Linked DNA regions of Macaca mulatta. The protein of the gene in region 1 purifies or fractionates together with the protein of each later gene. This does not show direct contact. Links are inferred from orthologs where the notes say so. Each region holds a gene or a part of one and is shown in the gene's direction. Other genes may lie near its edges.

Region 1 (3,804 bases):
GTCAGGAGTTGGAGACCAGCCTGACCAACATGGTGAAACCCCGTCTCTACTGAAAATACAAAATTAGCCAGGCATGGTGGCGGGCGCCTGTAATCTCAGCTACTTGGGAGACTGAGGCAGGAGAATCTCTCAAACCCGGGAGGCGGAGGTTGCAGGGAGCCGAGATCGCACCATTGCATTCCAGTCTGAGCAACAGAGGGAAACTCTGTCTCACAAAAAAAGAAAAAGAAAAAGCAGATGGAGGCCTTTGAGCTGCGGCTTATCCTCGAGATCCTGAGGTCTGCTAGACTTGCTGAGACGGGATCAAGGCAGCATCCTCAGTTCCCGGGGAGCGGCCCTGGATTCTGGTCATTGGTGTGTCTGCTGAGTGTACACAGCATGGATCCTTCTTTCCTTCTACACCACAAACCCCTGAAGTGCAGGAATCCAGTCTGTGTCCTTCTGGGGGCCGGCGCGCCACGGCCACGCGGTAAACGGCCAGGTGGAAAGGTAGACTCTCCCTAGGTAGCTAACCCCTGCCCTGGGGGTCTCTGCAGGGCAAACCTGGTGGACCTGCAGAAGAAGCTGGAGGAGCTGGAACTTGACGAGCAGCAGAAGAAGCGTCTGGAAGCCTTTCTCACCCAGAAAGCCAAGGTCGGCGAACTCAAAGACGATGACTTCGAAAGGATCTCAGAGCTGGGCGCGGGCAACGGCGGGGTGGTCACCAAAGTCCAGCACAGACCCTCGGGCCTCATCATGGCCAGGAAGGTGAGCGCTGCGGGGTCGGAGGTTGGGGAGTGGTGGGGAAGGTTCCCCCTGGAAACAGGAGGGAGGTTGGGAAGGCAGCCGGGTCTCTGCATTCTGATTAGCTCCAGGCTCCATTCCTCATCCCCACCAGGGACTCTAGGTACTGAGAAAGGGCCCAGCTTCTGGGCAGATGGGAACGGTGCCAGCCACACACAGCTGTGCCCTCCGGTGGCTACCTTCTGCCCTGGAGGGCACTTGAAATCCACATTCGCAGAAAGCTAACAAGTGTGAATTTCAGGAATGTGAATGTGTTACGGTTCTCCAGAGAAACAAGCGATGAAGCGTGTGTGCGTTCGCGCCTGTGTGTACAGCCACGCACCTCATGGCGATGGCTCAGCCAATGACAGACCGCCTATGCAGCGGTGGTGACGTAAGATGATCGGGCCATGTCTTTGCCTTCTGTATGTTTATTTTTATTTATTTATTTATTTTTGAGACAGAGTCTCTCTGCTATCCAGGCTGGAGTGCAGTGGCACGATCTTGGCTCACTGCAATCTCCACCTCCTGGGTTCAAGGATTCTCTTGCCTCAGCCTCCCAAGTAGCTGGGATGACAGGCGGACACCACCGTGCCCAGCTAACTTTTTTGTGTTTTTAGTGGAGGCGGAGTGTCGCCATGTTGGCCAGGCTGGTCTGGAACTCCTGACCCCAGGTGATCCGCCCACCTCGGTTCTCTATATTTAGATAAACAGATGCTTATCAGCACCGCACCGTACAGAGTACAAGAGCCTGGGTGTAGAATGGGCTTTCCGGTGTTCACACAGCGACGACCTCGCCCAGGGAGGGATTTCTCAGTGTATCCCCGTCCTTAACGATACTTGACTGTATGTGTAGAGAGAGATTTATTCTAAGGAATTGGCTCACACAGTCCCTGGGCTGGTGGGTCTGAAATCTGCAGGACTGACCAGAGCCCCACGGAACAGCTGACGCTGCGGCTGAGATCCAGGCCCTCCTCTTCGGGGGCCTTGGGCGTGTTTTTTTTGGTTGTTTTTTTTTTCTCTTTTTTCCCCAAGACAGGGTCTCCCTCTGTCGCCCAGGCTAGAGTGCAGTGGTGCGATCATAGCTGACTGCAGACTCCGCCTCCTAGGCTCAAGCGATCCTCCCACCTCAGCATCCTGAGAGTAGCTGGGGCCACAGGTGCACGCCCGGCTAATTGTTTGTTTGTTTTGTAGAGACAGAGTCTCACTATGTTGCCCAAGCTGGTCTTAGACTCCTGGGCTCAAGTGATCCTCCTGCCTCAGCCTGCCAAGTAGCCAGGACTAAAGAGAACACCAGGCCTGAGCTCAGGCGATCCACCCGCCTCGGCCTCCCAAAGTGCTGGGATTACAGGCATGAGCCACTGTGCTTGACCTATATTCTTCTTTTTTTTTTTTTTTTTTTTTTCTTGGCTTACTGCAACCTCCACCTCCTGGGTTCAAGGGATTCTCCTGCCTCAGCCTCCTGAGTAGCTGGGATCACAGGTGTGCACCACCACACCCAGTTAATTTTTGTTTTTTTAGTAGAGATGGGGTTCACTGTGTTGGCCAGGCTGGTCTCGAACTCCTGACCTCAAGTGATCCTCTTGCCTCGGCCTCCCAAAGTGCTGGGATTACAGGCACGAGCCACCGTGCCTGGGCAGGCTTTTCCCTGAAGGCCTTCAGCCGATTGGCTGAGACTCACCCACTCTGGGAGGAGTAATCTGCTTTGCTCAGAGTCTGCCGATTTAAAGGTTAATCACATCTTAAAAACGTACCTTCCCAGCAACCTCTAGACTGGCGTTTGACGACGAGGCACCGTGGTCTCACCCAGGAGACGCATAAAGCTGACTGTCACCCCACTCTTTGAGAATTTGCAAGCCCTGGCGCTGACAGCCCCCGAGCTTAGTCATCCCGGGCTCCTGGGCCATGATGCAGCCTCTGCTCTGTGTTTGAGAAGAGTGCCCAGGGGATACAGGGAGGTTGTGACCACTCGGGGACAGCGGCTCTTAAACACATAAGCAGAGGACTTAGTGTTGACGGGGCGTTCAGCTCCTCACCTGTGTTCTTGCAGACATAGAATGCTGCCTCTTCCTGGAAGCCCACCATCCTGTAGTCCCCCAAACTGGGGGAACCTGACCGCACCCAGTCCTGTGGGTCCGCGCAGGTGGCAGCATTGCTGGGGGGCCCTGCCTTCCTCGGGAGCAGCGGCTCAGCTCCTGCGGGGATTTAGCTCTGCAGCTCTGTCTTCTGGCCTCTAGAGTGCCACCCTCCCTCCCTCCTGAAGTCTGCAGCCGCGGACTTGCTATTTCTGTCCCCGTGCTGCAGGCAGCCTCTTCCAAACCAGAGCAGCCTTGGAAAGCTCAGGTCCGCCTCCGCCCGAAGCACCGGGAGGAAAAAAGCAAGCTTGTGGTTGACAGAGCCACAGCAGGGCCTTGAGACAGAGTGCCAGTCCCCGTGTGTGCCAGGGACCCTCGGGCTTCTCAGGGAGCCTCCAGTGGTCCTTGATGGGCTGGGCAGTGGACATGAACCCAGTGCTTGCTGCATCAGCAGCTCCTGCTCCTGCTGACCGGCACAGGTGAAGACGGGCTCACCTGCAGCTTTACCACAGCCGGGAAAGGGAGGTCGGGGCCTTTAAACCTGAGGGCAGGCGTGGCTGGGCAGGCTCTGTGGTCTGGTGCATGGGGACGTCCCAGCGTCGGCTCTGGGGTTTGGTTCTGTCCTTCCGTCATGAAGCTGTCATTCACCTTGGGGAAGGCGGGGAAAGGGCACACAGGACTGTCGGTACTATTTTTGCAACTTCCTGTGCTTCTATAATTCTTTCAAAATTAGGTTTTCTTCTAAGCGCCTGCAGACTCGGGGGTGGGAGAGGATGCGTTGAGCGCGCGGGCTCAGCAGCTCTGGCTGCTATGCAGGTGGGACTGCGAGGGCTCCTTTCATCTCATCTTATTTATTTACTTATTTTTATTTTTATTTATTTATTTTTTTGAGACAGAGTCTCGCTCTGTCACCCAGACTGGAGTGCAGTGGCGTGATCTTGGCTCACTGCAACCTCCACCTCACAGG
Region 2 (4,292 bases), on another chromosome or scaffold:
AAACAAAACCCAAAAAACAACTATCTACACACATACACACACACACACACACACACACACACACACACACACACACACACACCCTCTGCTGGCCTGAGAGGTAAAAGAAACATCCCACAGGACCTGCGGAAAGAGCTCCTGAGGCACATTGGAGCCTTTATTGTGTGCCATCACTGTTTCTGGCACTATGAAGAGGGTACAATGATACACTAGCTAGTGGCTTCTGCAATCAAGCAGCTTACAAGAGAAAATTCAGGGGGGAGACATTTTTTTCTGGTTGACAGATGTTAAAAGTATGAAGGTGTGGGAGCTTTGATCAGAGACTTGGTTTTTCAGTTTTGCCAGATAATAGAACACACGGGGTGAACTAATGAGACAGGAGGGTGAACAGATGGGCGAGGCTTGATTGCTGGGTTAGGAGGCACAGAAAGGCACAGAGGATAGAGGACTACCAGTCCTTGGCAGTACTGTACTGCTCCATGGCCACTACTTGGGTCCAGGGCTACATTCAGATCTGAGGTTAGATAGTAAGAATTGCTAACATTTATCCAGCGACCACATGTGCCAGTAATCAATCTAGGTGCTGTACATGTATTAACCCTTCTTCATAGGAAACCTATGAAAATGTTATTTGACGAGGAGACTCGGGCATTCACAGGAAATCGAACGTGCCCAAGGTCTCACCCTAGATAGTGGTGGAGTCAGAATTTGAGTCCTGGCCACTTGCTCCGAAGCCACCGACAATTCAGTGTGCTGTCCCCAGTGTCTGGGCTGACTTGGTGGGTTGGGAATGGCGGAGGAATGGGACACTTATTTTGGTAGGTAAATGTGGTTCAGAAGAAAGCCCTTCGTCTTTCTCCAAGCCTGAGCAATCCTTTTGGCGCAGGCAGTCCAGAGCAGAGCGCTTTGTGAGCCAGTTACAGGAGAAGTGCTGTAAGCCCCTTCCCACTAGATGGCAGCCCCTAAACCCACATACAAATCCTGGAACCTCCCTGGTCCCCATCTTCTAGGGCTGGGCTGCGGCTGAGGAACTGCGGGACGTACACCCGCCGGGCGTCCAGAGGGCGCCGCCCCATCCGGGGGTCGCGGGAAGCTCCTAGGCCGGGTGGAGGGTGGAGGCGGATCGGGAGAGGCTGCTCCCTCGACTCTCGGCGCCCAGGGGAGGAGCCGGCGCGGAGCAGCCCCACCCGGGGCTCCCAGTCGGGGCCCGCCCTCACCGCCTGAACCGCCGCGGCCGCCAGGAGGGGAGGGGAGAGAAGGGCTGGGAAGGCTGCACGGGCGCTGTCCCGGGCCCCGAGGGCGGGGGCCGGCGGCAGGTGTGCGGCGTGGACTACAAGTCCCAGCATGCCCGGCCGTCCTGACCCGGCCCCCGCCGCCGCTTAAAGGCTCCGGGAGCCGCAGCCGTCGGATCGCCGCGGCTTTCGCTTTGCTGCAGCGGCTGGGAGCTCAGGAGCGGTAGACTCGGCGGCCGGCTCTACCGGCGTCCCGGCTCGGGCAGCGCCGAGGGGCGCTCCTGGTCCATCTCTCCCGGCTCAGGGGTTCCTTGCCGAGGCGCCCGCGCCCCGGGCTCCCCGCCTCGGCCGCCGCGGCCCCGATGCCGAGGCATGGATAGAGCGGCGCTGCGCGCGGCGGCGATGGGAGAGAAGAAGGAGGGCGGTGGCGGGGGGGATGCGGCGGCCGCGGAGGGAGGCGCAGGGGCCGCGGCCAGCCGGGCGCTGCAGCAGTGCGGGCAGCTCCAGAAGCTCATCGACATCTCTATCGGCAGCCTGCGCGGGCTGCGCACCAAGTGCGCTGTGTCCAACGACCTCACCCAGCAGGAGATCCGGACCCTGGAGGTAAGGGGGTCGGGGACCCGGGCTGGGCTCGAGAAGCGGCCCGGACACCTCCCTCCGGGCCCCAGTTCACTCCTGGCCGAGTTGCATCCTTGAGCCCGCGTCGCCCCCGTGGAGGCTTCCCCTCGCTCCTGCACTCGCTGATGCGGCAGCCGGAGGACCCAGGACCAGCCCTCACCTTGGGCAGGATTTGTGGGGCGGGTGCGTGGTGGGAACTGGGATAGAGGCTCGAGGGGCCCGTGGGCGGAGTGGGCTGCGCGCGGACATCCCCTTTCCTCCCTTCTCCGCCCCACCCCATTTGCAGTTTGTGGGGCCGCAGGACTCGTTGTCCCACTGAGTCACAAGCTGGACTTTTCCCTGTGTGACTGAGCCGAGCACCCGTGGGCCAGGGTGACGGAGGAGGTTCCCCTGAAGCGTGATCGCAGGCCTGTCGTCCCCTGTTCCCCTCAAGCCCTAGACGCCGTCCTGTCCCTTCCTTTCCTCTCCTCCCAGGTCTTGTCTGCCGCTTTTCAAAAAGTGTTGCTGAAACTGCATTTTTGCTATTCAGGCGTTTGGTGCTTTCCTTTCACGTTGCCACAGAGGCTCGCTGCTTAAAATGTATTAATAATTACCCGCCGACTCCCCCTGCTTCCCCCCAAAGATTGGATTTTGGCTTAGGAAGGATTATGCTGGGGAAGCAAGCCTTTGGTGGGAAGATGACACTGTTTAAGGGGTTCTGATGGAGACAGCCTGGAGTGTAAAGAAGAAATAAGATATGCGGGCCTTCCTCTCTCAAATTATAGCTGGGAAGTATTAGAAGGATTTGGAAAAACCAGTCCAAGGGTTGTTGGGGCACCCTGTCCATACACAATGAGGGCAACTAGTGGATTCCAAATGTGATTTTGGCCAGGGACGGGGCGGTGAAACGTCAGACCAGTTAATAGCTGCCCCGTCTTGAACAAGGAACCTCTCACCATCTTGCCCTGCCACATCTGGCCTCCTGCAGGTCTGGGGATGTTTTGTTTTATTAGATCCTCAATTTCTCCTCCCCCTAAACCCTCCCCCCGCCCCTTATTGCTAATTGCCTCTGCCAGCTGTCATAAGGCCCTCTGTGATTGTGGTAATTATTACAAGACCAATCCTTCCTCCAGGCATGCCACAAGCCTGAATCCTTGTTTGATCCCAAGTGCTCGGGGGTGCCTCTCCCTCAGTTTTATTTTCTTAAAAGCTATAAAACCACAGGACATTGGAAGAATACAGTCAGTGCTGGGTATTATTATTTTTTATTACAGTTGCTAAAGCTGTACTGACCAAGGCTTTGCTTAAAAAACAAACAAAACCCCCTACAACCGGCCTTTCTGCATGCATGCTGCAGTTTTCCAAGTATTGAGAGAAACTGATTTTTTGAACACAGCTGAGTGTGTTTGCCCAGCAAAGTTCAGTTTTTAAGCTGACACAATAGGGGGCCTGTGAGGCTCAGTTCTGGGAGGAGGGGGTCGCTGTCCGGCAGAGTGCATGGTTGGACTGCGGTGTTACTGGGTTTGGAGAATGCTCTCTGTGTTGGCCTCTGTGGGATTGTCCCCACGTTGCTCTGAAGTGCTCCTGGCTCCCAGAGTATGTATAGGAGAACCACTTGCTGTGCATTCTCTGGAATGGCTTTTTGTCCTACCCTAACTTCCAGAGTCTCTCATTTTGATGGCGGTGTGGCGTTCATGACACCGTAGAGCATCCAGCTATTTAAGTCTTGGAGCTGGTTTATTCAGTGGCTTCCCTCCTGAGTGTTTGTTTAGACAATCATCCCTGGTGGCAGAGAACTCATCCGAAGGCCCACAGGGGATTTGCAGCTCCCTCCTCTTCCCACCGTGATGTGGATTCGGGTTCACCCACTTCCTGAAAAGGCAGGGCTTGGGTTGTTTTGGGGGATGGGAATTTAGACCCCTGGAGCGAGTTCCATGGGGCTGCCACCAGCTAGTTTGGATGAGTCACTTCATCCCAGAGGCCTCAGCCTCCTCACCTGCAAAACAAGGAGGCTGGAGTGGATCTCTGAGGGCTCTGGAGGCTCGAAATTCTCTGGGTTAGAGAATGAGACTTGGTTGGGTGAAATCAAATGTTTGTGATTATTTTTATACTACCCCTGTTTAAGAATAACCCTCTAAGAATGGTTCTAAAATACAGATTTACTGAACCCATAACATAGGGGTTAAGTTTATTATAAGAATCTTTGCCATAGGAGCAGCGTGGTGAACAGGAAGCCCCATGGCTTTCATATTGGGCCTGGGTTCTGTCTGTGTGACCTTAGGCAGGTCCCATGACTTCTGAATCTCAAGCTCCCCTGTACGTAAAATACGAACGAGACTGCTCACACCTGCAGCGTTTTGTCTGTCAGTCCATGCTGTTACTACCAAAAGAGTCTGCCTGGCAGCTTTCCCTAGGGAGGGTCCAGTAGCGTTTATGGCACAGGCCACCACTAGGGAAACAACC

What was found.
Region 2: the proteins of MAP2K2 (region 1) and KSR1 purify together in Homo sapiens (affinity purification with mass spectrometry; 4 studies listed by BioGRID and IntAct, with this or other methods). This does not show direct contact. The link is inferred for Macaca mulatta from reciprocal best matches to the Homo sapiens genes MAP2K2 and KSR1.

Annotation. Positions count from the first base shown.
Region 1 is NC_133424.1:4,939,937-4,943,740, reverse strand, and holds part of MAP2K2 (dual specificity mitogen-activated protein kinase kinase 2), read left to right. Parts: exon of another isoform or gene 1-233; intron 234-536; coding exon 537-747; intron 748-3,804. UniProt on the Homo sapiens protein: Catalyzes the concomitant phosphorylation of a threonine and a tyrosine residue in a Thr-Glu-Tyr sequence located in MAP kinases. Activates the ERK1 and ERK2 MAP kinases.
Region 2 is NC_133421.1:36,150,334-36,154,625, forward strand, and holds the start of KSR1 (kinase suppressor of Ras 1), read left to right. Parts: upstream 1-1,406; 5' UTR 1,407-1,604; coding exon 1,605-1,835; intron 1,836-4,077; exon of another isoform or gene 4,078-4,292.